Schizosaccharomyces pombe: one gene and its partners. Changing the gene in region 1 together with any one later gene gives a genetic interaction. Each region holds a gene or a part of one and is shown on either strand. Other genes may lie near its edges. The genes, in order: pim1, alp7 and fin1.

Region 1 (10,960 bases):
TTTGTTTGATGGGATGACAAATCCCGGTATTTACAGACTTTCAATTCAATGAATTGATTTGATGCGTCCAATACCCACATCGCTATTTTAAAAGTGTAGTAAATAAAAATAATGTAATGTATATTATTAATTTATTATTACATTGCCGAGTAAAAAGGGAGTAAAACGAGAAATCAATTGAAGGATTTGTATTTTCTTTATTCTTTCGTTTACTAATTTTTGTAGCGATGACCTATTTTAAAGGTTAGATAAAGTAAGTCAACACGCTGAGCTTAATTGAGATTATCGGTGCGAGCGATCGATTGTAACAATCAATCGCAACAATCAAATGATAATGTATTAAGCAAAAAAAGGAAACTTGAAAGAAATATAGAAATGAGCGACCCTTAGCTCTTCGACCTGGGTGAACAAGAGTCGTTGTACATAATAAAAATATAACAAAAAAGAAAACCCCAGACAAATCACAGTTTCAAGCATATTATACAATCATAGAAATTTGCATTACTAAAAGAATTTCTCTTAAAAGATTAATTATCTAAACATTCCTGTATATCGAAAATCGTAGTTGTATGTACAGAGAGACATGGTACTTTTATTTATCAATAAAAACAGTATACCAACAACCAAGGGGAGGGCATTCTTCATTGTCAAAACTCGTCAGTTTGACTTGTAAGAATTCGCAATTCAAATATTTCCTAGGAACATGACTTTCAACTCGTCCTTTAATGAGCCCACTTTGCACTGCTAATCTGGGATGGGTGGTATCAGCACACTTCCTACTGACACTAACGCTAATGTGCCATGATCGTAAAATTGCAAAATCTTCGCTATCGCAAGCAGAATGTTTGTTTTCTCCGAAGTGTTAAGGAATGTATCGAATCGTATGGTAAAATCATTCCATCATCCAAAGGTCAGTATACGATATTGGCACGCTAATGCGTACAGGACAATGCTAAGCCTCTCTCTTTACGAGTTGCTCGCTTGAACGACTTATAAATTCCTTTAAATTAGTAACCAAGCGAGTAGTTTGGTATTTTATTAGAGGATTTGCCTTCCCCGAGCATCCTCGGAAGTACCGGCTGTGAAACTGCGACACCCACCTTGCAATAGCTAACTAGTACTTACCAACCCCGTAGTGTGAACCTGCTTTGTACACAATACAACAAATAATTCTAAAAGCGCAATTTATTAAGTTAAGTTTACCCATCTAGTGGAGAACAGTGTTATTTGAGTTGAACAGAATTGTTATTCAATTTTAAAGAGTGTCAATTTATCGGTTACTTTTTTTTTACACATCTACAATTCTTTCATTGTATTTGGGTTTAAATCTTTTGTCTGTTATCTCATTTTCCTCATTGAATTCTTTTTTTTATTGTTTTCATTTGTTAAGTTTTTCAATTTTTATTACAATAGCCATTGTTCATGACTGTTGTCGTAGGAGTCCTACAGATTGACGATATGGGGAAAAAGTCATCATTCGCTAGCTGGTGGAAGCAATTGCGGGTTAAAAAGTCAGATGACAATAAATTGTTTGGTCTGAGCCTTACAAGGGCTTTGGAAGTATCGAAGGTCGCTATCTTTCTGACACGCCGAGACGGTGAGAAAGTATTTTATGGCTACATTCCCGCTGTCGTTGCTAAGTGCGGGTTTTTTCTTAAACAAAATGCTACCCAAGTAAAGGGAATTTTTCGCGTTAATGGTTCTTCCAAACGAATCCAAATTCTCCAAAAAGCTTTCAGTACAGGCCCGGATTATGGCCGAAGTTTTGATTGGGAAGGATACACAGTTCATGATGCTGCCAATGTTTTTCGGAGATTCATCAATCTAATGCCAGAGCATGTGATTCCTTTGGAGTATTATGAAAGGTTTCGTGAACCCATGACAATTCCCAATCTTACAGACAATGAGCGAGTGGAAATGTATCGTCGACGCATTGATGAATTACCGATTCCAAATCGCCAGCTTTTACTTTATTTACTGGACTTACTTTCCGTTTTTGCGATGAACTCGTCGAAGAACCTGATGACTGCTGATAATTTGGCTGCTATTTTCCAACCTGGAATTCTATCTCATCCTGATCACGAGGTTTACTCAAAAGATTATCAAATATCGCAAACGGCTCTTTTGTTCCTTATCAATCATCAAGGAAGCTTTATCAAAACCATTCCTTTGTCTTCACTACCTCCTCTGGTAGCTGCGCCTACTTCTCCAAATACTTCTTCTACTTTAATTACGCAATCTGCTGCACCTACTCCTATAGCCTCGACATCCATTAGGATTAATTCTTTTAATCCAAGAAATGGATCCATTAAGCGTTGGCGCTCTTTTAGTCGTCATTCTAGTGCCACTTATTCCAATAGTCCGAGTTCAAATTTTTCAAACATGAAAAGCTCCGAGGTGGATCCTGGTTCACCCCCAAGAATCAAATCTCGTTCGTATTCATTGTCTAGAAGCTCATCTATGAAGCTTTTCCATACACTTGATCGCCGGAGGGAAAATCGTATGTAATACTTTTAATTGTTTTTCTCTGTTTATCTAGTTTAATTGTCTTTGTCCTTGGTTGTATGGCGAAGAATCTTTTTGTACATATATACTTAGTTGTTACCGTCCGCTCTTTTAGTTTTATTGGGATTTGCATTTAGGCTGGATACCGCTACTGTCGTTTTATGTTTTTTTCTTTGTATTCAGCCATTTTCATTTTAGAAGTTCTACTTAACCATAGTAAGAACAAATTATCCAATTCGTTATTGTTTTTTGTAATTGTTTTTTGTTTTGGTAGATCAATATATTTATCTACATAGTAAATTTATCTGACAGCTTTCAGCTACTTTCGTAATTTTAAATTTTTATTAATTTGGTGTCCATATATCTGTACAAAGAAACTTTTATGAAAACAACAACGACATTGTAACCAGAAAGGATTTATCAATCTATACTTTATTAGGCTCCAAGGAGATCCTGTAACAATTGTAAGAGGCGCTTCTGATCTTCAGATAACTCTTCATCATTATTCACTGACAAAAACAATGGTATCTTCAGGTCTGCAAGGATTGCAAGCTGTTCTTTGTACATCCTGTTTGTCAATTGTACCACTTGTTCATCAAATTCTTGTAAAGCCCTATTGTCATCTAAAGTTTGAGCGGAATCATTGTTGGTCTGGTCATTAAGACAATTGGACGGTTGTTTCAATTTAGGGTCGGAGGAAAGCGGTTTCAGTATTTCTTGAAGCTTAGTTTTCGACTCAAAATGTTGAACTAGCCGCTGCCGTTCCAGAGACCAGTTGCGCTCTTGACGTTCCTGCATAGCCTTCATCTTTCTTAATTTTTGTAACTTTTCGGGATGGCGGGAATTTAGGGCAAAGATGTACCTCAAGGCAGCGGGATAGGTTTTAATTTTTTCTGCGTCCTCTATAGAATTGTTCAACTCAAAATCAGAGGGTTTCCGAGCCTTCGATAGAGGGATGGATGATTTGTCTACATTTTCAAGCTGATTACTCGTTACGTTGGAGGAGCTTTGAAGCTCTTGAAGCAAATCTGCGATTTTTTTATCCATTTGGAAAACTCATGAATTTTGTATGCATCAAACACATTGATATTCAAAATAATTTATCTAGCCCAAAAATAGTTAAAAGAAATTGAGAAATTAAGTACTAAGCAGTGGTGGAGCTGGGTTCGAGAACAGAATCCTTAGATTCAGATGTAGCGGTAGATGGTTCGCCGTTAGAGGTGACATCGGGCTTTGCATCAGTAACGGGAGAGTCATCCGTTTTGGAAGTTTCTTCGGTTTTTAATTTTTTTTCATTTTCGGGTTCGCTTTTTATGCCATTTGCAACTGGCTCTTCGGAAGCGTTGGGAATACCAGCAATGATGGAAAATTGACCACCTGCACCCGCTACACGGATCGCCACTTCCTTGATTGCCTTGGAACGAACTAATGTAGGAACAGCTACATCTTCATCATTATCACCTTGACCAACCTCGTAGTTTTCAGCAGATCCCCATGAATAAACCTTACCATCTGAGGTAACAGCCAAGTTGTGATGGGTACCACACACGACCTGTATAACATTAGTAAGTCCTGGGATTATAGTAGGGGTTGACAAGTAGTAATTGTTTCCCTTTTCATCTTTAACTACTGTTTCTGGAAGTGCATTATCCGGAATTCCTAATTGATGACGATCATCTCGACCCCAGGCTAACACTCTCCCATCTTCAAGTAAGGCTAGGGTATGATGTTCACCACCTGTAATAGACTTAACATTATATCCTTCTAAAGCATCAACGAGTGTAGGCTTTGTAATAACGGCGCCTTCTTCTTCATCTTCTACCTCTATTCCACATTGTCTGGTTATATTTAAGCCCCAAGCATAAACGCGTCCTTTGTTGTCAATCGCAAAAGAATGATACGATCCTGCTCCAACTGAAATAATATTTTTTAAAGCTAACGGTTGAGGAGTCAAGCCTTGAAGTCGACGACGTTCTAACATACGTCTACCCAGTTGAAACTGTTGACCATTACCCCATGTATATACTTTTCCTGTGGTAGTCAAGGCAATAATATGGTCCGTCCCTGTAGCTAATTGACAAATTTCGGGAAGTCGCATCTGCGTCGGTTCAGCTGTACGTTTTTGAGAATCGCTATACCCTAATACACCATCGGAACACTAGTATGTTAGCAAACGAAAAATGATAAATTTATAAAGCCATTTGTTCCAAAAGGGCGAAGGGAAATGATACAATGAGTCAATAGACTATAAACAACACTGCAACGATAACAGCACCTGAATTTGGAATCAAAGATCAAATGATAATTTTTCACGGCCAAAACAAATTACTTACACGGAAAGTACCCCAAGTAAAGCAGCAGCCATTGTCCGTTATTGCTGCAGTGAGATTGTCGCTACATATAACTTTTGTAACGCGTAGATGAGATAAAGCACCTTCGACCTTAGAAGGAGTTCCCTCTAGTAAATCATTGTCAACTTTGTCTCCATTCTCATCCTTTTGATCCTTAGTAAGACGACCAAGGGCATAGTCATCATTAACTCCCCAGGTGTATACGCGACCGTCATGAGAAAGGGCTGCAGAATGCATGCCGCCAACAGCCAAATCGACTACTCCTACTTTATCTGTAGATAAAATAGGATTCAAACGAGGACGATAAACGACATCCATTTCTTCTTCGCCCATACCTAGCTCGTTCATGGAACCGCTTCCAAAGACGTAAACGTTCAATCGTTCCGTAGGTAGTTCAGGTATCTTATTAATTCGCTTTGCGCTTCCTGGGACACGAACGGGTTTGGGTAGAGAGCTGACCTTTGCACGTTTAACCGGCTTTTTGCCATTTTTCATCACATCTGATTCATCTAATTCTCTTTTTTCAACCCCATTTTTTGAGACCTCCTCTCTTTTAGTTGAGCTTCTAGTACTTCTATTAGAAGTCATTATGAGTTTTAGCTGGAAGGGTTAGCTTTGCTACTAACAATCGATTTGTAATTTAAAAAAGAACAAGATGTCATCGCGTATTCCATGCAACCATCACCAGACGCAAATCCAAGAATTACATTTACTTTTTGGTACCACTTACTATAGCTTGGGTTTAAAATATTACAAAAGACAAAAAACAACGATTTATGTCGTTTTTGTTTTCGCAGAGACGTTGTTTTCAAAACTCGAACAAGTCGTTCTGTATACGGATTCTCACTATTCAGTATACTGCGAATCGTTGTTATGTGCAGCTTGTAATTAAGCATTCGTTAATTACAACATAAGCTTCGTTTAGCAAAATAAGTTATTGACTTCAGTAAAAGTTCCCAGCTTGTATTTGTTCAAATGTGTGTAAGGTGAGCTACGAATTTTTATGAAATCCTTTCTTTTTTTTTAACTTCATTTGATTTATATAAATTCGTTTAATCACGTCGAATGTTGAAAATTTGAGACCTCTTCTTATCTGAGAAAGCGGTTTCATGTATAGCTAAACAAAGATCAAATTTAAAAAAAAAGCTCATTAGTCATAAGAAGTTACAGTAAGACTCGGAGTGTCCATCGTTCAGCAAGATCGTATGCGAGAATACGAACTCAAGCAACGCGATTTTAATCTCTTCATAAATTATTTTTATGAGGACCATATACTTTTTTCCCTCATGATTTAATATTTAGTTACAATGAACATAGTCGTTAGCAGTTTCTGTTTTCTTTATTCTTTTCTGGATTTATATGTCTGTGAATTTGCCATGTCATAAATTTGGGTAACGATGTTACTCAACTTGATTCTACAAGTTTGCCTGTGAACTTGAGTATACTGTAAAATTAATTTCTCTTCTTAATCAGCTCAAATTATTAAAAGTTGTAGTTGAAATTTTCAAAATACGGCAAGTTGTCTTGTGGGGGGCGGTTTTATCTATCGGTAATGGCTCAAAGGTTAACCCTATAGAAGGGACTTGTGGTGTTTGGTGACTGGCTCAGTACCTTGCCAACAGCAGAATTGGCATCCCTTGCTCATCTTGATCAAAACTGTGTAAATACAGCCTTTTCAAAGAGTAAGTTATTATAATAAATTTACAACTAACGTAGATAGGGCTTCGGATGCTGTCCCATTGAATTGCGAGAGTGTAAACAATAACCTCGCGACTTCAGCCAGTATTGAACAAAAAACCTCTCTAGGATGTCTGTTGCATCCTTTCTCACGGGCGAAAAGCTTCTAGCAGGATCCAAGTTTGTAATTGGAAAATACAATGTTACTATCGAAAAGTACATAGCCGAAGGTATAATTTTTGGGTTGGATGGATCGAGGAGTATTACAATGAAAGATTTATTTTACTAACATTTTTCATTAGGCGGCTTTTCTCATGTATATCTTGTTCAAACAAATTCCAAAACTGATGGATCACCGATAACTGCTGTTTTGAAACGCATGTATTCTCCAGACGAGAATGCCCTGCGTTTCGTGAAAACTGAAATCGAAACGATGGTATGTTAACGTTATTGATTTTTTTGTCTAACTTATTAGGAACTACTCAAATCCAATCCCCACGTGGTTTCGTATATCGACTCCTGCATATTTCCTCTCGAGAAAGCGGGTGTCAACACTGGATTTGAAATCCTGCTTTTGATGGAATACTGCGCTGGGGGTGGATTGATAGATTTTATGAATCAAAGGTTACAAACTCGGTTGTCAGAGCATGAAGTCTTAAAAATTATTTCAGATATTGTACAGGGTGTTGCTTCCTTACACTATCTGAGACCTCCTCTCATTCATCGCGATCTGAAAGTAGAAAATGTTTTGCTAAGCTTTAATACTTTTAAATTGTGCGATTTTGGAAGTGTGACTGAGCCAATGCATGCTGCTGAAAACTCTAGCGAAATTCAAGCATTAGAAAAAAGTATCAACACATTTACTACCTACCAATATCGTGCCCCTGAGATGATTAATTTGTATTCAGGCTTAGGAATTGATGAGAAAAGTGACATGTGGGCTTTAGGAGTCTTGTTATACAAACTCTGTTACTATACAACTCCTTTTGAAACACAAGGTCCTAACGCTATATTAACAGCTTCATATTCCTTCCCCCCATTTCCTCCTTATTCACATTCTCTTAAAAATGTCATCATCGCTTTACTTCAGCCGAATCCTTGTCTTCGTCCAAATATTTTTCAGTTGATGTGTGAGATATGTCGTCTTAGAGGGACGGCTTTACCTTTTAGGGATATATACAGTGGAAGAGAGTCGTCTTTTTATGATTTGCATAACCGGAAAATAATGTCTTTGCTTCGACAAACAACAACAACACCGTTTGCTGGAAACCAAGTCATGCCGACTCCACAGGTTCAGGGCTCAAGACCTCCCCCTCCTCCTCCTATGCCAGCTCCTATCTATAACGTACCAAATGTGCCGACTGTACCAACCGTTTCCCCTAATCCATTTTTGCAACCTACTTTCTCTGGCACTTCTCAAGCTAGTGCACATCCTTCTATCCACAGCCAATCCGCAACATTTAACAACACTCAAGATGTGAACAGACAGAGTGTTTCGTCTCCGAAGGTTGTTTCATCAAGTTCTGTAACTGGCTCAGGAGCTAGTGGTCGCAAAGTCTACACACCTCAAAGTAAGAATCCCTTCCCAATATCTCAGGGAGTCACGGGAACATCTTCAAAATTTTCTGCTAGCGAGGTTACAGAAGATAATGGTTCACCAAACGCCGGACTCGATGCCGATAACGTTGACGTTGAGGAAGTTGTTAACCAGCGTTATCCTGATCTAAATGAGTTGGAGTCACAGCTTACTAGTCATACTAATATTACGACTAGTTCTCATCATAACCCTAGGGAACAAGAGATAGCAAAATTGGCTGATGATGCATTCGCTAGTTTCCGTCAGACAGCTGGTACTTCAACCGCAAATAGTACTCATACCACTGGTACTCAGGATATATCTGCCTTTGATACAAATTTTTCGGAAGGGGTTGGTAGCGTAAGGTCTTCTTTTGATTTCCCTGATCGTCCAGTATCTAGACGACCTTCAAGCACTTCTAGGTCGTCTGTTAAAATTACTGGACCTTCGAGCCCCAATGCGCGTTCTATGGCTTATGAGCAACACTCCTTTAACCTTGATGATTTGAGTAATACTAATTTTGGTTCTAATAATTCTCTTAGACATGCCAAATCATTTTCCAAATATTATTCACCTTCTCATAAAGATTCGAACAAAACTTCCAGAAACACATCTAAAGAGGGGCTCCCCTCCAGTCCTACTATGCTCTATCGTACAACATCTAATACTAGAGGTGACTATATCGTTCAACGCACACAACAGTCTGCCAATCCTTTGACAAATATCGAACCCCAAGATATGTCAAACCTTAGTACTGATATTAATGCTTCTGACGTTGTTGCCGATTCAACCAACTCTATTCTTTATCCTACTTCGACCGCGTCTTCTGTTGCCAACACTATTGCCTCCGATGTTGACGACTTTGGAACTTTTAATGGTTTACAAAGAACCGTGAGTTTACATAGTGAGCGGGCAAGTCTTGACAAGAAGCGTCCTTCTTTTCATGACAAAAATCCGTACTTTAAATTTTCTCCAAGCAAGTATGTTGACGAAGGATTGGAAGGTGAAAGTGAATTAAGAGAGCGTGTACGAAGTTATGCTAACCGCTCAAGTTCAAGTTTCCATAATCCAGATTTAACAGACACAGAAATTCAAGAGACGTCTTTTAATAACGATTTGAGGCCTGTAGCTTCTATTCAAAGTGCAGAAACCTCCAGAAGCGTAAGTGATAGACCTGCAAATTTTCCAGAGGAATTAAACGACACGTTATTTGAGCAAAAATATCCGGGAATTGTTGATTACGAGGAACCCAATTCGAATGCAGAAAAGAACGTTAATATTTGAGTTATCAACCAGACTTTACCGACTTTAAACTAATTATATTTTTTTGCAATGATTTATTTCCTTATTATATATATAAATCCTTCATGCAAATTCGGTGTTGCCTTTGAAGAGTTTTAGATGGATGATTTTTTGATATGTACCGCTTGATGTCACGGCCTGTGCTTCAAGTCTTTGGAATTTTTACTCATGTTATTCTCTGTATCTATCGTTGTTCACTAGTTCTCCAGGAATTGGAGTTCCCTATACATAACTCGGATACATAGTAGCCAAAATTCTAATATCAGTTTTTCAATATAAATTCCATTTTTTGGATTATTGTAAAAGCTTTAGTTATTGACAAGTTATTATTTATTTTCAGCGCAGAGTTTTATGTTGTCAAAGCTCGTTATTCCAATCGTGGTTAAATAATCAGAACAAGTAAACAAACAAATACCCAACTAGATAACATGGATTTGTGGAAGAAAGGAAAGCGCTTCTTTCGATTTAGTAAAGAACCAGTAATTACATGTATTAATACTAGTTATGCTGGTAAAGAAATTATATTTGATTTAATTGCCAACCCGCAAATGGAAACTAAAGATGTCAATCTTACTTTGGATTTTGATGCACCAATTTTCCACCGAAAAGCAGGAATAGACGGGCTGCTAACACTAACTAATAAGTCAAAAGTAAACGAAATTCAGCTGATCAGTATCGAAGTCTTTATAATTGGAATATGTAAACACAAGTTTCATTCGTCAACAGTCTTCCTGTGTTTAGGAACTCACATCATGGAAGGGCAATACATTGTACCAGAAGAACTCTTAGATTATGCTAAAAAAAGGGGGAAAAACCGGATAATCAGTATTCCCAATCATTCAACAGTTGACATTCCATTTCAAGTCAATTTTCCTAAACACGTCGAAGTAGGACCTGGCCGACAAATCCATTCAAGGGTAAAGGTACAGTATTTTGCATACGCGTAAGTAAAAGTGACAATGATACACGCAAGCTAACAGTTAAGCAATATAATTTACCAAAGCGCAGACAAATTGAGAAGTCGGAGAGAATGCCAAGAAATAAATGTACTACCCAGCATATCACCATCCTCGTTTTTAGACTCTCCCTCCATTATGTGCGTAAGTAAACAACCAGACTTAAAAAAGGACCGTCAACGTAAATCGGCCACAAGAATTACTGTGAGTTTGCCCCGAACAGACTGGCTTGCCGGTGAGTCAGTGGTTTCGAAAATTAAAATCGAAAACCATAGCAAATCCTCAATTAAAACCTTAAAACTTTGTTTGTACAGACGTATTATTGGCTTCGATCCACCAAGTTGGAAGACACAGCAAATGATGAGCCATTTAAATTTAAGCCGAAAGAATTCAGAAGTCTCCAAAACATGCAAATGTTTGCAAAAAGAAACAATCAGATGTAATAAAAAGAGTAACTGCTATAATTGGAATGGAATAGCTGCTCTAGAAACGTATACAACTGAATGTCATATTCAAATACCTGATAAAGAGGCAACAATAACCGTCGGCTCAAATTTTGAAGTTGACCATTTCTTGAAAATTTCTGTCGGGAA
Region 2 (10,960 bases), on another chromosome or scaffold:
GAATTAGAGTTATATTTGGTATTGAGCATTATTCTTCTTTCATTTGCTAACCCTTTCCAGTTTATGGTTTTTAAAGATTTAGAACAAGCTGAGCTTGATCGTTTGAATGCTGTCAAATCGGTTTTGGTTGAATGTTCCAACTATTCCGGTAATTTTATACCTAGTCTTAATTCGATTTTTATCGACAACTTAAATTCGTTTAAAAATCTTGATTCTTTGCGCGATATGTCAACTCAAATAAATAAACATTATACCGGTTATTTTATTCCGGTTTCTAACAACGAACTATCTACTAAAGATGGTAAGTCCACATTTATTGAATTTGTGATATCTAACCTATCTAACCTACAGAATACTTGTTTCTGCAAAAATCCAGCTTGACCGAAGATAATCTTATTGTTTCGTTGGTGCCTAAAATATTGGCTTATCTATTAGACGGTATTTTAAATAGTTTCTTTATCATTTGTTCAAATTTAACTAATATAATCAGCCTATTCTTATGAACGTGACGAAGAAGGTAAGAAAGTATTCACTTGAAAAATACTAATTTTTGCTAGTTTTAAGTTGTGTTTGGACTACCGAAGTTCCACTTAAAGATGCTTTTGACCTTAAAAGCGTTTTACGAAAGACAGATAACGTTGAATCTGTTTTAAATGCTTGTGTGGAAAAATATACACTTTCTTCAATTACTTGTTCTTTAAGGTTATGCCTTTTAGAATTTCCTGATTCGTTGATACGATCAAGTTTCTATGATTATTTCAAAGCTATCTACACTACTTATACAGACTTTGAAGACCTCGATCACCGCCTGTATTCAATTAAAAAGTGTCTTCTCCATCTGCACTCCACACCATTACATATATTGGAAGAAATAATTCGCCATTTATCTGCCTATGCAATCTCTATTCGCATGAAAGATGGTCAAATTCGACATCTTGCTAAAATAATTTCGCCATGTATGTCATTTTACAAATATTTGTCTAACCTCTAGGTGTACTCCGTCCTCCTGATGATTTGAATATTATACCAGTTGAAGACACACATCCTACTTTACTGGTTATTGATTTAATTAATGAATTTGAGAATCTTTTCGCAGATCTTGAAAGGCCTTCGACACCTCCTGTGGAGATTGAAAGGGCCCTGACTCCAATAACAACGTCTCCTCAGAAATTGAAACTACCACGATCATCCTCGCCTTGCAAAAATCCATCACCAACACGAAGATTTAGACCATTTTAAAACTTATAATTCTTTTTCAACCTACTTTACATTGTCCATTAAAACTACGATATGTCATTTATAGCAATCTAAATCACATTCCGTTTAACGGACACCTTTCGTTTAGAGGTGATACCAATTTTTCTTCTTGAAGTAGTAAGATCCTCTTCCTCACTGGATTCCTCCTCTTCAGTAATGTAGCGCATAGTATCACCCACGAAGTTTCCGAATCTTTGAAATATGCTGCTTCCTTTGACTTTTAAATTTGACCATCCATTTTCCCCAATATGGGCTGTTGGCTTGGCAAAAATTGTTCTTATATTTTCCTCTCCACTCTTCTAAAAACTGAGTTAATACCACGTGATGGATTAAAACTAGAAGTTTACTTACCCTGCCTTGTGTAGGAGATACCCCATCTAGAGAGCTTCTAAAACTAGGGAAAAAGCTTCTTTTTTCTTCCAATGGTTCTTTCTGCTTGTTATTATCAGTATAAGAACTACTACTTTGAGGGACGTTTGCCTTCACAGTGTTATATGTCGACAATACTCGATTTTTTAAAGAGTTGGCCAAAGCATTAGTATTGTAGCTATTTTTCCGAACATAAGACATATCTTCATCATTTTTGGATGTTTTCCTTAAATGTTGCAACTCAAATGTAAGATTAAGCAATTTAGGCATATCAACATTAAAATGAGCTTGTAACAGCTTAATTGAATCTGCAAAGTTTCTTTCTAAAATACTTTCTCTTAGTTCAATTAATATGGAACAACAAAAATCCATTAAAAAGTCATAAGCACCGTTGAAACCATCATCGTTTTTTCCAAATAATCTTGCTTTCATTTGATCTGCAATAATAGAGTCCCATAATCGTATTACATCCGGCAAAGGAAACTCCTGAGACAATAAACATGTAAACCAACGAAAAGAATAGTACGTTGGATGGATTTGTTTTTCCTCCTAATGGTTGGTCAGTAATGATATATAATATTAATACGTACTAAATTCTCCCATAATTCATAATCATATTTTTTTAAACGTTCAGTAAATTTAGACATAAGAAAGTGAATGCCATGATCCGAATCATGATCCAGAGTTTTTTCATACAAATCACGAACTTGAACCATCATTTGAGTAAATAAAAAAAATGCATCGCATTCACATAAATAATAATTTTCATAAGTAGGATCCGTGGCTAACACATAATACAAAGGAGCTAGAATCTCGTTCATGCCTTGTACATATCCAATGCCCGGATTGAGTTTCGCATAAATAAATAAAATCCTTTCAGCCGCTTCTCGATGTAAGCCTAACTTGTTTTCTCCAGCTATTGCTTCAGCATTTATAGTTCTTTTTGAATCCATGCTTTGTCGAGGAGTACTGAGAGCTGTTGTAGATGAACTAGTCGATTCATTTTCAAGACGATAAATTCGACCTTGTAGCACAAGATGACATTCTTCTTGAAATTTGGAAAAGTCAATCGTTGATAAATGGACCGGTGTTTCTTGGCTTTGATCAATTGAAGTTATTTTGGTATAGTTGAGTTTCTGTCCAACTTCTTCAACTTTATCGTCTTCTGTGTTTACACTAATGTTCTCACTGACATTGTTGACTGAAGGTTTCTTGTTGATCTCAGATTTTCCTTGAAAGAACGATAAATCGGGGAGAGTCCGACGAATATCTTTATCAATTTGTTCAAGTATTTGATTGTCATCGAAATATTCCTTCCATTTTGAATCATCACTAGTATTTAAAGGATGGTCACTGTTTTCGCCTGATTCCTCGTGTAGAGTTAGTTTCCTCCAAGGATCAATAAGAAGCTCTTGAACGAAAGATGTATAAGTTTTTCGATGTTTTTCTAGAACTGATTGCCAGTTTGATCTATCGGTAGGAAGGAACTCAAGCATCAACATCCAAGCTTTTGCCCTAAGTGAATATTCATCAGGAATTCCTTGAATACAAAGCGAGCATAAACCAGGGAGAGAAATTGGCTCTTCCGAATTTAAAATGTCTTTAAATTTTTCAATGCGTTGCTTATAGTCCATAATAAACTAGAAGCGATTCAAATAAGATATTATGTAGTTTGACTATATCCAATTTAGTTATATTATCATATATAAAATATTACTGTTGAAAATTAAATATATGAAGAAAAGGAGAGCGCAATTGGTGTGTTCAGTAGCCTGTTTCACACGTGGATGATGGAACTAAGTTAGCTACTAAAATTGAATGCAAGTTTAAGAACCGACTAAATTTTCTGACTTATTTTTTATACTAATTTCCTTCTTAACAATACTTCCCTAATCAAATACTGTAGGAAAGTACAGAGTAATGAACGTCCTTAGTAGATGTACAGTATAGGTAAGATTGATGTAGGTGCAACATACAGACCAGGAAAGAAATATTTGGTTTAAACAGCACCTAGAACGAGCAATTAATAATAATTGGATATTTATTAAATAAATGCACCGTTTTCTAATGTATGTATGTGAGAAATTAGCCTTGAGATTGGCTCCAGTTTTGATTCTATCTATAATACAAATAAAAGAAGAAAGAGTGGATATGCAATTTATATTAGGTTGTATATCGAACTGTTATGATGTATAAATATACGAAAATTGGTAGATAATGTATAACCATAAAAGAAGGCTTAATTAATGGAAATCAAAAGAATTCGGGTTGTATTCATGAAACTGGGGTCATCAATATGAAACTAAATTAATCATGAGAATACAGAAGTGGTTTGGATAAAGGAAACGGCATCAATACATTAGCAATACTCTATCAAAAAAAAAAAAAAAATTATGGAGATTGTTTTTATCAAAAATGAAAGCGCAGATCATGATTTTTGCTCCAAATTCAGTTGATCCATTGCAATTACCAAGTCCTCGCTCATTTGTATCAACTGTTGTCGTTCCTCCCTTTCGACCCGGAGCTCTTCTTGAAGCGCTTGCAGTTGTAAACGAAGTGTTTCCAAATCACCTGTCTGTTGTGATTGTTGTTGCATTAGTAACTTATCACTCTTCGCCATATCAGCTTTAAAATTGTTCAAAAAATCTGACATATCTTGGCGCTCTTGAATGGCTTTCTCCAGCTGTTTTTGGAGAGTCTGATTGTCTGCTTTCAATGCTCGCCTTTCTTCCTCCCAGTTACTGTTGGATATTTTTGGAGCATTAGGAGCAGTACCGATTTGATTTTGAAGCTCCTGTATAGTTGCCTCGTATTTTCGAGCATAATTGGCTTTGAAAGCATTAATTTTCTGAGTGTGCTTGGCTGAGTACTGAGCATGTAAATCTTCAGCAACTTTTTCCATGCGTTCTTGAATTAACTTGTCAACTTCCTCTTGAGTATATTTACCTCTCTGAAGAGCTAATGTCTCTTCATTATGCCCTTCAACAAGTCTCATGTTGGTATCCTTTGTGGAGGGACTAGTCGATGCTTTTCCAGATCTAAGTTGCTGAAGTTGGTCATTAACGGCAATCAATTGTCCCGAAACATTGACGATTGTATTTTGGAGTACGGAAATTTCATGATAAGTGCCAGCAAGTTTGGCTTTGTAGCCCTCTATTTCAGCTTCGTATTTCGCTTGCTGCTTTTGAGTGGAATTAATTGGGTATTGAGTAGGTATATCGGCCTGTGAAGTTGATGGTGTAGCAGAGTTGCGAATGTTGTCTTTCAAATGCACTGGTGGGTTCAACGGCGCCGTATTAGTTTGACGTGGGAAGCTTCCGTTTGAAAGCACTGGGGGCCTAGAACTAGCTGATGTTTGCAAAGATGATGAATGACTGTATGCAAAATTAGATGGAGCGGTATTTAAAGAGCCTCGTTGGGAGGCCGCATTGGACGATGAAAATAAAGAAGGATTCTTCGGCGTCAAAATAGATTCTACATTTCTTTTTCTATGCTTAAATTCTGGCGTTTTATGCTGTGACAAAGGATGGGATATGGGATGCATCGGTCTAGGGGTTCCTGAAAAATCAAAAGATTTATTCAACTCTAAGGCTTGTAGTCGATCGCTTACTCGCTTATTAAGAGTATCCTTTAAATTCAGCTGTGGATTGGGTTTAGAAGTTAACTTAGGGAATAATTTAGGGGCAGGCATGGATTCCTCTGAACTTCGTTGAGCTGGAGGAATCAATGATTCTGAAGAGGCACCTTGCCTTTTTTCATGAAAACCCGTATGATCAGTTTCATTTGTCCCAATACTAGATGAGGAGGGAGACCTCCTACTGTAATCTGTAGAGCTCGAAACGATATCACTCATTTTCGGTTATGACTTTTTAAAATCGTCAAACGATATAAAGAACTAACAGATATATGAAATATAAATACACAAGAAAATCCTTTTTCAAATATTTTACAGCTGGTATTATCGTTTCAAAGTTAACGATCAGTAGCTAACTTTTATTTTTACTTTTTGAAAACTGGTCAGATGTCCGCCTACGTAGAACAATGGTTCAATAACAAACTTGAGTCATACAATGCCCAATAAATAACCCCTTATTGCCCTCAATTCTTCGTCTTGATTCAACACTAGGCGTACAATGGTGGTGTAAATAAAAGGCACATACATACTGGTTTACACTGAGTAAGGAGAGAGTGGGAAGAGTTCACCGAGCTCTCGGTGAATTTTCGGTAGCTTGTTCTCCGAAGCCTTTGTAATAACACCAAAGTATCCTACTGTAAACACTAAACAATTTGCAAGTCAACCTTTGATATTATGTGTGCCAAATTTTAGTATGAAGAAAAATGAAAAGGCAAACGTATGTATATGAAAAGAGGGAAATCGTGATTATCTAATGAATGGCAGATATCGGCCTCATACAATGACCTAATTGCAACAATTTGCAATCCTCGTATCTCTGATGTCGGTACATATCGCATTGAGAGTGTTGTCGGTGAAGGTACGATACTTTTGTGTTATTGTGAACGCTCAATACTGGACGGCTATCTAACAAGCATGGGTTGTAGGCAGCTTTGGAAAAGTTTATTTGGCAGCTCATTTACTGACAAATACAAAGGTATGGGTTATTCAAAGATTACTATGTCTCTAAGTTATAAAAAGAAGAATAAACGGCTCGTAAATTGCGAATATTGACCGTTCCAAAGTCGGTTGATTACATTATGAGAATGATAAACGTTTTATTCATCAATAAATTGATTGTACCTTGCTAACATTTTTATTAAAGGTTGTCCTGAAATCATCTTGCAGGAAACAAGCGATTATCCTTGCTCGAGAAATTCATCATCATCGGCGTCTTCTTCATCCAAACATCACGAGGCTTTATGAAGTAGTATGCACCGAAGACCGAATTTATCTTGCCATGGAGTATTGTCCAAATGGTGAATTGTATGACTGGGTAGCGAGAGAAAAAAGGCTGGATGAAAAGACCACTTGCCGTATCATGTGGCAGCTATGCTGTGCTATTCAGTATTTACATAGACAAGGCTGTGTTCACCGTGACCTTAAACTCGAAAATATTTTTCTAGATAAAGCCTACAATGTTAAGCTTGGAGACTTTGGGTTTTCTAGAGATTCTGATTGTTCCCGTAGAACATTTATGAACACACGTTGTGGTACAGTTGCTTATTGTGCTCCGGAGCTAGTACAGGGCCATAAATATATTGGTGAATGCGTTGATATATGGTCTCTGGGTATAATTATGTACGCTCTCTTAATAGGAAGGCTCCCGTTCGACGAGGACGATGTATCTTTAACTGAGCAAAAAATTATCAATGAATGTCCTCAATATCCTGAAACACTCTCCAAAAACTCTTCAAGCTTGTTGAAATCCCTCCTTTGCAAGGATTACCGACTTCGACCCTCTATCGATCAAATCATCTCTCACCCCTATTTCAAGGAAAATGGATATCATTCATCTTCTATTCGAGACCCAAGGCCTTCCTCGAAAGCAGAGGAAAAAGTTCGTAAAAGGCTTGAATTTGTTGGTGTTGACATGGATCAACTTAATGCCAGCATCTCACAACAGCGCTGTGACATGTTCTATGGATGGTGGCTTTTATTACTAGAAAAAGAAATGCGTAAGGAAAACAAAAAAAAGAAAGGTTTGTTTCATTTACATAAAGGTTCATCTTCGGCTGTACACATAGCTCCAGCAACTCCATCATTAAAAACCGCTCAAGTTTCTGTTATGTCCAACAATCAGGATTCTTTAAAAAGTCGGCATACATCGTCAGATTCAAGTAATTCTTTGCTTTCTACATTTCGTAGTTGGTTATTCGATCCTAAACAAAAGCATACTGCTGATACGTTAAGCTCATCAGCAATTAGACCAAGAACACCTAGTCCTTCGGCTGAAAACTATTTAACTCAAGAAAATTTTGATTCCGATAATTTATCTGAGTCTTTAGACAATTCAGTTGAGAACCTTACCGTGTTTCCTTCGATTAACAGTTTTGGAAGAAGACACTCAAATCTTCCTCAAACAACGCACGTTGATACAGGTGAGCAAAACACACCATTCACTCCTCCTCTTTTAAAAACGGTAAACCTCGACGGTAATAAAGACTTTACCTTCCCCTCGAACTCTCAAAATAGCCCTTCTAAAAGTTCGAACCTCTCAATTAATATTGATATTCCACCTTCTCCTCTGCAAAATACTGTCATATCTCCCCAGCCGACTCGACGATCACGAACTCCCATACGCAGCTTGTCTGGGCGTTCTTCCGTTGCTTCTTCGAGGAATTCATCCCGTACTAGATCCTATTCAAACGTCTCTTCTGCATCTTCAAATTCTTTAATTTCTATTATTTCATCTAAACCTTCCAGTTCGACCGTTCAAAGGCAAACACCTTTTCATTCTCCTTTTGAACGATTGCACAAAAGTTTCCATTTTCCTTCCGGAGAGCCATTTAACACTCGTATAAATGCTACTGCAATTTTTACAGTTGGTTCTGGTAGAAAAAACCCGCAATCATCTTCCTCTCTGATGTTTAATCAAAGCTCAGTCAAAGAGGAAGAGGAGCCGGAAGAAACCAGTTTTTCAGACTCTTCAAAACATTTCACAGACTTGCTCTGAAGCTTAAGTTTATTACACGATTACTAAGCTACGTGGTGTGTATAATTTGAATTATTAACTTATTTTGCTTTAATAAAGTGTTCTCTTAAATAATTTAATCAAACTTTTAATCTCTAGTAGTAATGACCTTGTTCCTTAACTTATCCCGCTTGTACCACACTAAATCATAATCTGTCAATTTTTTTTATGCTACATCTTTTTTCATTCGCTTTTTCCAAAGGATGAGGATTGATTGATTTGAAGTTGTTTGTCAGTACCTCCCGTAACAATACCAATGGATTTATTCCAATCAACAGCGAAAAGTTTATCCCACTGAGAGCCTGTTTTTTCTGCTCTAGAAATTGTGTAAATACTGCCGGATGTAGCACGGACATCCCAAACACGACAAGTGTTATCGTGAGAGACGGATGCAAACATATAGGGATTTTCTGGGCTTGCCGATAATCCGGAAACTAAATTCTTGTGGCCGGATAAAGTATGACTCACAATTTTGTCGCTTCCCGCTCGAGGGTCGTGAACAACAATGTGTCGCGCAGAGGAACCACAAATGACTAAGTGTAGGTCAGTAAGTTTTTCCACGCATAAAAGAGGAGCTTTGGTTATCTTGGAATCAACATTTTGCCCAGTAATGAGATCCCAAGTCTTAATTGTGTGATCTTGGCCTACGGAATATGCAACACTTGGATCATCAGAAAAGACGATATCCATCACCGGTCCAGTATGCCCCTCACAAAGGATCAGCGGAGAGCGAGCCCCAGCTTGAGGTGTGAATTCTGCATTTTTGCGACGTCTCTTTTTAGATATAGACGAGGAAAAGGACTCGAGGGTAGTCTCAGGAGACCTTTCAAAATCCCAAATTCCGACAGTATTATCCGCAGAAGCAGAAATAAAAACGCTTGAAGATTCTAAGGATCGTACGCGCTCAACTATATCCTTGTGCCCTACGAAAAGAGTTTGAAGGATACCGGAGCTTTTCTTTTCAGCATCCAACATTGATTCTGGCTCTTCGATCACCCAATGAAAAATTTTTTGATCAAGTGAAGCAGTGAGAAAACTTTGATTAGGTATATGCCAGGATGCACTTTTTAAAGATGATCCACATCCAGTTGATTGAAATTTTATTTCACCACTTTTATCCCAAACACGAGCTATCCCATCGTATGAAGAAGTAAGAATGGTATCTGAGGTTAGTTGAATACCAGAAATCCAATCGTCATGAGAGAAAGAAGCTAAATATGCAGGTGGTAATGTAGATTGGATATATTCAATATCAAGAATCGACTCCGTAGACAATCCGTTTTGAACTATGTACTCATCGAGAGTAGTTTTTAACAGCTGACCCTGAACCAAAAAATCAAAGGGTGTTGGCTTTTCTAGTAAAGTTAGTAAGGAAATAAATTAAATTAACTAAAAAATCGCAAAATTGTATAGCAATGAAGCAAAACGAGGATGAAAGGTAAAAGAGACAAAAAAATAAAAAAAGGGCTTTTAGTAATGCATCTTCAAGAATTTTACAAAATTTTAAGAAAGGCGTGAAAAAGAACACTAGAGTAACTCTTAGATTCGAGAAGCCCCCATTTGATTCTCGCCAACAAATTTCAGCTTCTACACAGTTTTATAGTAATTGGGCCTTGCATGAGACCAGCTATTCTATTGCTTCAAATTTTCTTCAAGTTGGTTGAATTATGCGACTTTTCTCCTGCTTTGACCCAGTATGTGTTAACTGAAAACATACCTGTTTTTAGAAGATGATTTACAATTTGAGATAAGCCGTACCGCTTTAAAGATGTAGGAACAAAAATCGGCGTGTCACCAACAGCTAAATCCTCATTTCTAGTAGTAAAACGGACTTGAACTTGGCCTGAAGGAGCGCTTTGGGCATCCATTCTGTTGTTGGTGGAAGGAGTGTCGAAAAGATCAAAATTTCCAGTACCAAAAAAATGAGGATAATGACTTTTGGCTGAATTGATCAAGATGTTACGAGACTGTTTTTTAAGAATTTTCAAGTTTAATCAACCCAATTCGTATTCATCGATAGCGGTCCTAATTCAGCTTTTTTTTTTGAGTAGAAAAGTAACAGTTGAACAAAATCTAAGAATAACAAAAATAATATTAGAAGATTTAAAGTATGCTTTAAAAGTAAAAGGATAAACTTTTTTAAAGCTTATTTTTTTCCAGAGTATGCTCGAATTGTAAGATTTAACGTCTTTTGAAATACTTCTTTTAAAACGACTTAAATGATGATTTGACCGGTATTATTTACAGCTCATTATAACATTGTAATTTTTTGGAATGCTTTCACGTTATTTGAAAGAAGATTTCAATTATGCCTTTGAAAGCATCTATAGCGCTTTTAACACATAGCCGGTTTACCAACTGCATATATTCCCTTCTTGAGCCCACCACTTTTCAAGAAATTCCAAGAACCAGTACTTTTCTTTTTTAAAACTTAATAAAGATCTATCAATTTATCCTTTTTCACCAATTTGAGTGCAATACTCGAGAAATTTTGGAGAGTTTCTCAATTAGCGAGAAGACTTTGTTTAGATCGTTGATTTATCGTGTGTTTATATTTTTATAAAAGAAGAGGAGACTCAATTGATTCTATCCTCGAAAAAGGTTTTATTTTGGGAAAGAATTCATCGGTTCTAGGATTTGGTGGGATTTTAGGACTCAGGCTGCTACATATTTTTATGTATATTACT
Region 3 (10,960 bases), on another chromosome or scaffold:
CATAACATCCAAATTAATTGAGCAACAAGTTTAAAACCCAAACAATGTGTGCAATACGACTTGAACAATTTTTCCAAATAGAGAAGTTTGAAGCGAAGTGTTGTCAGAAGCAGTTTTAGATTTTTCTTCCTCATCTATTGGCTCAGTTGAACCAAAACCAAATAAATAATGAAATAACCAATTACGAGGTTGATGTTTCTGAGAAGATTTAAAAATATCATTTTTGTGTTGAACAATGACTTTTTTACCAAGACCAGATTGGGATTGGAAATGGGCATCAGCATGCACGGGAATAGACATTGAGGTTTCGGAGGAAGAGGCATCCGTCATTTCCAAGTCTTTATTGCTGTTTCTTAACGTTTTCGGAACATGCTCCTTCGCTTCTGCGGGGCTGTATATACATCCAACCATAAAAGAGTCATTTATCAACATTCCGTTAGACAAAACTGCTTTGGCAGCAGAAGAAGGCTCAGCATATGTTAATTGTAGCCAGTTACCAGATATGGGACCCTTGGAGGGAGTGAATCCGGCACTTGAAGCAGTTAATGAATTCTCGCTAATAATAGTTCCAAAACGAGAAAATTCAGCTATTACTTGATTTGTCAATTCTGGTGGGAAACCGAAAACGATAACGGAGGTATTTGAATCTTGAGGAGCGCCAGACATGGTAAAAGAAGGGTCGTATACCTTTTCAGAGACAGGAGAAAAAGGGGAAGAACTTTGTCCAACATTGAGAGCATTAATTTGCCTAGAGGAAGAAAAGTCATAAATGGATTGAGTAGGAGGAGCATCTTCAATTAAAGATCCGGTACCTAAACGATTTGTATGCAAAAACGGTTTCGGTGTACCAAAGCTGGGTCCGCCGAATTTTGAAGAAGGGGGACTCGAGAGAGATAAACGGAAGGAAGAGCTATTTAGAGAAAATTAGTAAAGGTTCTAAGAGTTTATGTCTAATATTTAAAAATTCATAGGGATTAGGCTGAAGCTCTAACAAATTTGGATATAGATAGATATTAGGTAAAAAAGCAATTATACTAAACAATTTTTTAATCCTCCGTCTTCAAATGTCCCTTAAACTCTTCAAAGAAATTACTTACGATGACTCATATGGTTCTGCTAAAGGCGAGCTAACCTCTGGGGCAAATCGACGCTGCTGACTTGATCCAAAGTGTGAAAGATGACTGGGAACAAATTTTTTTTCTTGTGGAATGTTAGAAACAGATGTTCGAAATCCACGATATTCTTTTTGAGGAGAGGGCGAACGTAAATCATCGACAGAAAGTGGCTTTAAGGTTGATCGATTCGTGATAGAACCACTTCCCCCAAAAGACATGTTTCCGGCAATATTACTAGAGTCTTGTGATAGACTGTTGTGTAACATATGTTTTGCAACGTATATAAATTAGCGGTAAGTTCATTTGAAGGAGATGGCTTGCATGGAATGAATCATGAAGCCTAGCGTAGATCACTAAAACCAATTAACGCAAAATAACAGTTTATTGTTAATGCTATTGATTTTTATAAAACATGCAGATAAATCTTTTGAAAGCCTCAAACTAATATTAATACGTTTAGCTATTCATTTTTTTAAAACTTGATTTAAAGGACTCTGTTAAATTCCAAGCTCATTTACAACAAACCTTATACAATCATGTCATAAAAGGCATTATAGATGATAAAAATTCTCCACAACTTTTTCTCATTGCTTATTGAATAGCGTATCTTTTTCTTACAGAAATTAAAATGCGACTGGATATATATTATAATCGTAGCAATAAGCACCTGAAGTAACAGTGTTACTCCTAACCATGGCAACATTGTTTACACTTGATGATTTAACGAGACACTGCAGAAGAACCAAACATAAACATCTTGGCTTGAAATTCATATACTTAGCACTCAATCACTCCAAGCAGTATTTTTTATATTATTAATTGATAGAAGAATTTTTCTTTTTCTTTAAAGGTCCTACCGAGAAATTTAGTTTTATTTTAAGCTTACCTGAATCTCATGGGCTACTTCTGTTCTGAAGTATGGAAAAATACAAGATTCTTGAGTGTATTGGACATGGGAGTTTTGGAAGGATTTATAAAGTAAGTTTTAATCTTATTTTCACTGAAATTGGTTATTGGATAGCAAAATTCTTTCTTGTTTTCAGTTTATTTGCGAGCAACTACTTGTGGTTGGCAAATGAATCTATAGCATTGAATCAATTGTTTTCTTAAGAAACAGGGAAACTATATTGATTTAAATGCTTTTCGCTATTGTTTGTACTCTATTCAAAACAGTTTTTCAAATTGAAACTTTGATCGATATTTTTTTTTGCAACTCCTTTTTTATGCATTATGCTAACTATTATAGGTTCAACGCTTAAAGGATGGTGCTGTAAGTTTGAAAGCAATTTATTTTTATAGTTATTAATACTTTTTAGCTTTTGGCTCAGAAGGAAATACACTTTGGTAACATTACTCGGCAGGAAAAGCAGTACATCGCAGATGAAGTGAATATTCTTCGTAATCTTAAGCATCCAAATATTGTTCAATACTGCGGAGAAGAATTGAATCGTTCTGCGCAGGTAATAAACCTTTATATGGAATATTGTGGTCATGGTGATTTAGCCAATCTTATTCAACGTTATAAAGAAGAGAAAAAGAGATTTACCGAGCAAGAGGTTCTCAAATTTTTTACGCAATTACTACTTGCTCTGTATCGCTGCCATTATGGAGAAAATGCGCCTGCTTGTGACTCACAGTGGCCAAGAGAAATTTTTCATCCTAAACAATCTGTATTGCATCGAGATATCAAACCTGCGAATATATTTCTTGATGAAAATAATTCAGTTAAGTTAGGAGACTTTGGTTTATCCAAATTGCTGGACAATACGCGTGTCTTCACACAGAGTTACGTGGGAACTCCATACTATATGTCTCCTGAAATAATTCGGAGCAGCCCTTACAGTGCGAAGTCTGATGTTTGGGCTCTTGGCTGTGTTATTTTTGAGATCTGCATGCTTACGCATCCCTTTGAAGGAAGGTCGTATTTGGAATTGCAACGTAATATTTGCCAGGGTAATCTCTCCTGTTGGGATCATCATTACAGCGACGATGTTTTCCTTCTAATCAGGCATTGCTTAGAAGTTAATTCAGACCTCAGACCTACTACTTACCAGCTACTTCGCTCTCCTATTTTATCCGATATTCGTAGTAAATTGGAATCCGAGAGAGTAGTCTTGGAACAAAGCGATTTGCTTCATAAAAAACATCAGATGCTTATTCAATTGGAAAATGATCTCCAATTTCGCGAGCAAAGGCTTTCTGCTCGGGAAAGTGAACTCGAAAACGTTATAGCTTCTCGCTTAGCCCAACGTGAAGAGATATTGCGACGTGAGTTGGAAAAGCAACTGCGTGACATGGATGCTCGTTATCAAAGACACATGCAAACCGTAGTAAACTCTATGCAGAAAATGCGTGTTACAAGTCCTGTGGATCATAATGAACAACCTGAAAGCAGTACCGCTGAGATGTTTGTAGATTGTACAATTGAAGCATCACAATCCCCCCTACTTCATATTCCTAAGTTAGGAATTAGCAAGCCCTTGCAAACGTTATCGTGTCCGGGTTTCACTCTAACTACACAACAACCGATATTGAAAAGACCTACTCTCCGTAAAGAATTATCAAGCAGAGCCTTACATACGACTGCAACATTAATGAAATACAGAGCTAATGCGTCATCTCTAAGGACTACACCTATTGATAAAGATGGCCAAATTACATCGTTACAGCAAAAAAACGGCACGTCGAATCAAGTGGCGGATTGCATGAACAAGTTGCTGCACACATCTTTGGACGGAAAGAAGCTAAGCCCTTCTGAATTGTGTAATAAATTTTCAGACGGTGAAGGTTTACCAAATCGAAAAGTTAGCAAACTTAGCGTAGAGAGCGATGAAACGGCAGTGAGTGCTTCAAGTGGTGAATCCGTCCCGACTGATTCAACGTTGACTGATACGAAGTCAAAGTCTGTTTTTGTCCACCCACCTTCTCCGCAGAGTCTTTATGTGGAGAAACTCGAAAAGTTGAATATTCGTTCGGACGAAGTGTCGAAACCTTCGAAAGCTTCAAAAACCTTACATGGCTATGCTTTACCATCACTAGCGTCACCTTATGATGTTCATGCTGAAGAGAAGATAGCAAGAGAAAATGAAATGGATGGCAATTTTAAGACGATGAAGATCAATCAACACCCCGACGAGTATGTGTTACGGACTCCGAAAAAGATACAACTGTTGGAAGGACAAAAGCGGTCGCCTGTAAAACAGCTGGGAAGACTTGGTTACAACAAGCTTCGACGATCAGCGATGGACAATGCAGGATTGGAACTACGAAAGGCGGCATCTACTTCGAACTATACTAGCTTACAGTCTCGAACACTACCCGGGTCTTGGAGAGATGATGAAGAAGAAATTCCAAGACCCTTTCTACGAAAAATGCTTGACGCCCGAATGATGAGGGCTTAAGTAAAGTTCCCTAAGGTGCATTTAATTGTACGAGAATTATATTAGCACAAATGCGTACTAAAAAAAAAATACAGCAAAAAATAAAGGCCCAAATGTAAATGAAATTATTGAAATGCGTACCGTGTTGAACTTCCCCTAATTATAAGGATTGGTTTTCTATTTATTCAAAGAAATGAAACACTGCTGGTCAGCGTTTATCACGAAGTTTATTACTAATAAAGGAATACAAACACGATATTTGCATCTACAAGTTCTCGAATATGAGATGCTAGTAAATTGAGCCTTTTAACAGTACACATTTAGATGATTAGGAAATTTTGAATAACAATATTTTTCCCCAAATTCGAATGAGCCGTATTGTAAATGGAATTTAATTTTATAATTTTTGAAATAATATTACACAGAAACAAAAATTCATGGATGTAGTAATTAGAGAGAACCAAAGAATTAGCTAAAACTACGAAACGCCAGCCTTGACAAGAGAGACTGTTTTTTTTTTGGTGTAAGGATAAGTTGCGTAGATAATAAATGGAGATATACGTAAATTCGTATATGAGTAGATATCTGGTATCTGGAGAGATGACTTATCAAAAAGAAGCCGATTATGGAAGCGGCATCAAAAATAGTCTAGAAAGAAAACAAAGTGGAAGTAATAGAAGTAAAAAAAATTTTTACAATTTCGGGTGGCAGAAAAAAGGATATTAATGGTATACGAAGTGACACAAATAGGATTCCAAATGAGGGATGAATCAATTAACCACTTGACGGATTGATAATAGCAATGATGAAAATAGCAGAATATAGTACAAACTAGTAATTGACAAACACATATAAATACTTAGTTGTAATGTAGAAGTATGAAAGTTAGTCATTCATTGTTATTTCATTTTATTTACATACTTTGACTTAAAAGAAGTGCCGACACATGTTACTACAATCTTAACCCATTCTTATCGCATAAAATGTTTGTTTTGTTTAAATTTCTTTGTTTTTGTTTTTTATTTTTAGAGCTATCGAAAGTATCAAATTTTCTTTATGCTGCCAACTAAGGCCATTGGATATTAAAGTTCTTTCTTTTCTTTGAGAGATAAGTCAAATCACCAACTTGCAACCCCCATCTTTTTGTATTATCAACTCTCTCCCTATATCTCTTTACTCAGCACAATATTACTTTACACAAACCCTTCTCCATTCATCCTTAACTCTCTCTGATCCTTTAGAGTGGGATGAGAAGAAGCTTCGCTAGCTAAAACATATCCTATTATGTAATGGACTCATTATGATGTCTCGGTGAAGCAATATTTCCTTTTTCCACTGTATGTCAATACTTTACGTGGTATGTGATGATTATGCACCGCTATATGATATTTGTGCACTCACTTTTGTCATCCCAAGAACGCGTAATTTCCCTTATCGTAATGCATGCCATTTAACCTAATTTACCCAACATCTTCTTCAGCCTGTGTACTCTGTTACCACCTCTGCTTCGGCTGCATGCATAACCCCCACCAAGTACCTAGAACCCTCCACTACAACCGGGAAGTCTAATGGGTAGTGGTAAAGAGAGGTAGGTGATTAGGTTAAAAGGAGGTCTTTTAAGATAACAACGTGGTAATAACGCTGCTGACTCTATTTCGTAGTAGTTGTGACTTACTAAGTTTTAAGGCCAAAAACTGTCAAAACAGCAGTTGTCTTGTGGTCCGACAAAGCGGAGCAAGAAAGACGGGAAGGGAGGAATTAAGTGCCTTGGACTCCTCGGTTCAAATCAAATAAAGTAGGCACTTTTAAAAAACGGGACCGTTCCATGTAGTGGTGGAAGAAGAGAGAGAACCTTGAAAAAAAGAAAAGATAAATAACATATAATATTTGTGTACAAAATGAAAAAGATGGATTAATTTCAAAGTTAAAGTGTAAGAGAAAAAAATAAAGAAAATTTGTTATTTATCTCAACCAAAAAAAAAAAAAAAAAAAGAAAAAGAAAAAAAAAGTATTAAAGGATTCCGTCAGGTTTGCACTTGTTGGAAAGCTAAAAAATGTTTACAGATCACCGGATTTGGGCTAATTGCGTGGAATCCGTGAGTGCTGCCAAAGAGTAGCAGATGGGATGAGATGAGATGTGATGCGAATGTGAATGTGAATGTGAAAAATTGTAAGCCAAATGCTGTTTCTCACGATAAAAACTAAAGAAAAGCATACATTGAAAATTAGAAAAGATAAAACAAGAAAAACAGATTTGGTGCTTATGCGCTGGTCGGTAAAACAGTTTTCCTTGGACTGATAACAAGAGGGATGGATAAATAAACACGCTCGCTGATAACTTGTAAAAAATAATCAAAATAAGAGTAAATAAAAATGATAAAATAAAAAACAACGATAACAAGGGACGAGTGGGTGAAAGGAAATTTTATGTTTGCGTTTTCGTTGAACCAGCGCAGTACAGAAATACAGAAAGAATTGGGAAGTACAATAACAGCTGGGATGTGGGATGTGGGATTTAATGGTAGGCAGGATAGGGTAAGCAATGCTGGGACAAAGAGAAAGAGGTGAGGGGGGTGAAAAAGTTTTGTGAAAGAAAGGATTGTTTATGCTACGGTTGGAGAAGAGAGGCGAGGGGAAGTGAGGATGGCTTGGATGTAGTAAGGATAATAGGAAATTAGAAATAAAAAAAAAAAAAAATTTGGATATGATACATAAATGGTAAAAAATAAATAATAAATTAATAATCATAAATTAAAGAAAGAAAAAAAAAAGTAAAGAAAGCAACGGTGAAAGTAGTTGAGGAAACTCAAAGAAAACAAAATAAACCATAAGAAGAGGAAAAGTGTTCAATCGTAATAAGAAAAAAAGAAATCAAAATATATTTAATGAAATTATAATAGCAATAAAATAAAGATTATACTAAATTCATGAATGATAATAAATAATAAACAGAAAAATTTAAAGGGCAAAAAAGTAAATTATAAAAATTAAATTAATTATAAGGTAAAATAATTTAAAAATTTTAAAGTACAATAATAAAAATTCGAAATATTTGTTTATTCAATAAACTAATGGAGAGATTTTCCATATTCAAAGTTTTGTTTCATTACTAATTTATAAAATGATACTTTTACTTTTGATTTATTTTATAAATTTTATTTTTTGCTTTTGATTTAATGTATTAATTTTATTTTACTTTTATTTTTTCACTCTTCAAATTCTTAACCATTCGCGTCTTTTCATCGCATCGCCCATCATATTTCCTGCCCAACAACTGTATTCATCAATAATATCGCTACTTTCATCCTACATCTTTGCCTTCGCAAGTTGCGCAAGCTTGCTCGCCATTTCGAGTGCTGATGGAATCAGCGATATCGATGGAGTTAGCGATGCCATCACAGAAATTGCAATTTTACACATCACAAAGTAAAACAATTAGCAATTCTTTCAAAATATCCATCCACTCCGCTTAAAGAAATCATTTCATCTTCATACCACCCCATTATCCCACCTTCTCTGATGGATAGTGGAATCCGCCTTGAATGTCTCTCTCTCTTACTATTACTTGCTTGGCATCTGAGCTGAGCCAATCCAATGTCGCTTAAAGCAGCCCAAAACTTGGGTAACATAGCGAAGAAACGCAAAGAAAAAAAAATTTCTTATGAGGAATCAGAATCTATCGGAGCCATGAATCATGGACACCACTTTCATATTTTTGGAACAAAGCAAGAAAACCTCTAGAATAGATTGGAAGCAAATTGATCCAACTACCACATGTCCTTCATATCCCCCCCCAAACATCATTCATCTATCCCTATGAGCCTCCTTCCTCAAATCCTTTTCCGCATTGCCTTCCCCTTCGCTATACCTAGACATTACAGAATTTATCCATCCCAATCTTCCGCCCCCTCCCAATTTTCAACTGCTAAACCTTGCTCTGATCCAATTTTTCCATTGTTGAGGCCTTTCTGGATGCAGCTTTCCAAACCTTTCAACGTCCCGGCTTGACTTAACTTCCACGTCTTATCATTCACAAAATCGGCAGTCCAAGACGCCAACTTTACCGACGCGTTTTACCCCATTGAAATTATGGATGTTTGCTTTACGCAGTGGTGTGAAATCACGGTGGACTAACGTTTGATGTGCAAAGGATCTCGTTGTTGCAGATAGTGTTACCTGCCACTCTCGGTAACAAATGTGGTTGACAAGCCGCGACTGATGTTTATCTCATATAATCATAGATCTGCCACAATCACCTTTTTTTTCCATTCTTTGCATATATAACATCAGTCATCTCTCCTAAGAAGAGCCGGTCGTCCCTCTGCTAAGCAACCATACAAAACATAACGTTCATCCTTTCTTTTTTGTTACATTCGTCTTCCTTTCTTCAGCCTAGATAGAATTGGTTTGGTGTTTGTGCTATTCTCAATTTTCCTCGTTTTGGATTGTGTTTTTCTTGTTTTGTTTGGGAATCATCATTCATCCATTAACATCTTCTTTACTTTTTTTTTTCATCGTTCATCGAATCCTACTTCCTCTTGACACATAATTAGTCTGCTGGTTTCTTTCTTCCTTCCTTTAAACATTTTGTGAAGAATCTCGTAACCTACCATTCGGTGCTGCTGTATTATAAATCTAATCTATTTGATTCGCTACGGATCTTTCTCACCTTAGACCTTTACTACCTGAAGGGTTCTTTTCTTCTTCTTTAATTCTTTGTCACGATATATTATAACTTTTCATTTTCTTTTTATTTTATTTTATTCTATTTGCTTGTCTGGGTTTAGGTGCTTTGTGTTCTCTTTCTTCTATTCTTTTTTTCATTGTTCCAACTACTCTGCTGACTGCAATATCACGCCTCTTTGAATTCTCGGGAAAAGGCTTATCTACTTTTCCTTTGTTTCATTCGTCTGCTGTCGCCCTGTAGCTTTAACGTTTTCTAACTCCGTCGCTGGTTTCGTCGATTAACTTTGGGTTTCGCATACGGTTTCGTGTAATTTCAAACATTTATTTATTATTTATTTATCTATCTGTCGGTCTGTTTTCTTTGCTTATTTTCCGCATTCATCTTAGCTTATATTTCAATCGTTGAATCCCATCCCTTGCTTCATTCGTTTTTCTCTTCTGCCAACAAATTCTTCTAGAGATTGCATCTTTTATCGTCGTTAAGGAGATTGGTTAAGTAGTTTCCCTCTCATTTTTTCAATCTCTCCTTTCTAGCTTATTTTGGGTTTTTACACAGTTCAAGTTTTCCTTTTATCTGCCTGGTCCCCAAAATCTCGGTTTTGCTTTATTTTCTTTCTTCAAATTCGACTTTGTGCGCTTGAAGATTCGATTTCAAGCAATCATTATTATTTCTTACACTCTTTCTTTGGATGACTATTTTCGCCAACACATCTATCTCTTCATTTTTGCAACTTTTTAGGCTTACTAAGCTTCTTTTTCTTGTATAATAATATTAACTGATTTTGGGTACGTGTCTTCAACATGGCATACCTTTAGAGATTTCTGTTTTTTTCCAGTTAGGAGCACTGTTTAGTCAATCTACTCGTTCTCCTCATTGTGTTCGTCTTCCAATTTTTGTCATCCATTTTTACTTTTCTACTAAATTTTCGTCGAAAGCTTTCATTGTTAGCTTTTTTCCCTTTCATAAACTCGTATTTTCTTCTCTTTGAGAAAAAGCTTGCTAAAAGTTTTCATTTTTCTCCAACAGCTGCTTAAAATTTCATCTTAGATATTTCTCTACACGATGTCGAAAGTTAACATGCGAGCTTTGCTCGAGTCCTTTAGTACCGTGATTCTTTCTATCTACCCCTTGGCTAAAAGTACAAATCAACAATCACATTCGCACTCCCTTTCACTTACTCAGTTTTTGTATGAAACGATTCGCAGAAGTCGTGTCGATTACACTACGTTGCTTCTTGCTTTATATTACTTCATCCGTTTTCGTGATGCTGCTTCTTCTAAGCCTACTAACTACATTCCTCTGTTATGTGGGCGTCGTCTTTTCTTAGTCTGCTTGATGGCCGCTACAAAATTTTTACAGGATCGTAGTTTTAGCAATCGTGCTTGGTCTCGCCTATCAGGACTTCCAGTTGACAAATTACTTGTTTTGGAATATATGTTTTACCAATGCATCGATTATCGTCTTGTCGTTCCTAAACATATTTTTGCTAGATGGTCTCTTTTAGTTGGTGAATGTTGTGCTCACGCGACTGCACGTTATGATTCCACCGATCCTAATGTTGCCTCATTTGGCAGCGTCGCACAATATTGGGTCTCTTTGTTTTCTAATGTTCAATCTTCTCTAGATGATCTTTTTTCCATTGCCTGTTTAACGAAGATAGCACATCGCAGAATGAATGCTAATGCTGCTTTGAAGAATCAGGCTACGAGGAAGCCCTCCTCTTCTCCTCAAACAACTCAAGACTCATCACCTATTCTTACGATGGCACCTTCTACTCC

The links.
Region 2: of pim1 (region 1) and alp7, a mutation in one rescues a mutant of the other (synthetic rescue), as found in Schizosaccharomyces pombe (2 studies listed by BioGRID, with this or other methods).
Region 3: of pim1 (region 1) and fin1, changing one enhances a phenotype caused by changing the other (phenotypic enhancement), as found in Schizosaccharomyces pombe (2 studies listed by BioGRID, with this or other methods).

What each region holds. Positions count from the first base shown.
Region 1 is NC_003423.3:2,485,385-2,496,344, forward strand, and holds pim1 (RCC1 family Ran GEF), read right to left. Parts: upstream 5,652-10,960; 5' UTR 5,587-5,651; exon of another isoform or gene 5,457-5,586; 5' UTR 5,445-5,456; coding exon 4,839-5,444; exon of another isoform or gene 4,664-4,838; coding exon 3,650-4,663; 3' UTR 3,635-3,649; downstream 1-3,634. Other genes in the region: Rho-type GTPase-activating protein Rga5, read left to right, coding at 1,423-2,508; SPOM_SPBC557.02C (uncharacterized protein), read right to left, coding at 2,941-3,552; Ark1/Prk1 family protein kinase Ppk29, read left to right, coding at 6,664-6,763, 6,836-6,969, 7,009-9,393; SPOM_SPBC557.05 (arrestin, meiosis specific), read left to right, coding at 9,840-10,354, 10,397-10,960.
Region 2 is NC_003424.3:4,998,717-5,009,676, forward strand, and holds alp7 (kinetochore-associated protein Alp7), read right to left. Parts: upstream 5,770-10,960; 5' UTR 5,480-5,769; coding exon 4,055-5,479; 3' UTR 3,684-4,054; downstream 1-3,683. Other genes in the region: rga9 (RhoGAP family GTPase-activator protein), read left to right, coding at 1-18, 61-301, 352-438, 491-517, 558-956, 992-1,239; tbc13 (GTPase-activating protein), read right to left, coding at 1,308-1,556, 1,609-2,175, 2,217-3,260; serine/threonine protein kinase Ppk16, read left to right, coding at 5,955-5,978, 6,026-6,119, 6,187-6,236, 6,405-8,255; ribosome biogenesis protein Ytm1, read right to left, coding at 8,457-9,628, 9,991-10,141. UniProt on the Schizosaccharomyces pombe protein: Required for bipolar spindle formation and proper chromosome segregation. Has an indirect role in connecting the kinetochores and the plus end of pole to chromosome microtubules by targeting alp14 to the spindle pole body.
Region 3 is NC_003424.3:1,352,327-1,363,286, forward strand, and holds fin1 (NIMA-like serine/threonine protein kinase Fin1), read left to right. Parts: upstream 1-1,894; 5' UTR 1,895-2,033; coding exon 2,034-2,093; intron 2,094-2,361; coding exon 2,362-2,385; intron 2,386-2,431; coding exon 2,432-4,516; 3' UTR 4,517-4,858; downstream 4,859-10,960. Other genes in the region: nucleoporin Nup40, read right to left, coding at 31-910, 1,098-1,333; cyclin Pas1, read left to right, coding at 10,245-10,960. UniProt on the Schizosaccharomyces pombe protein: Promotes chromosome condensation and nuclear envelope dynamics during mitosis. Activity appears at metaphase-anaphase transition.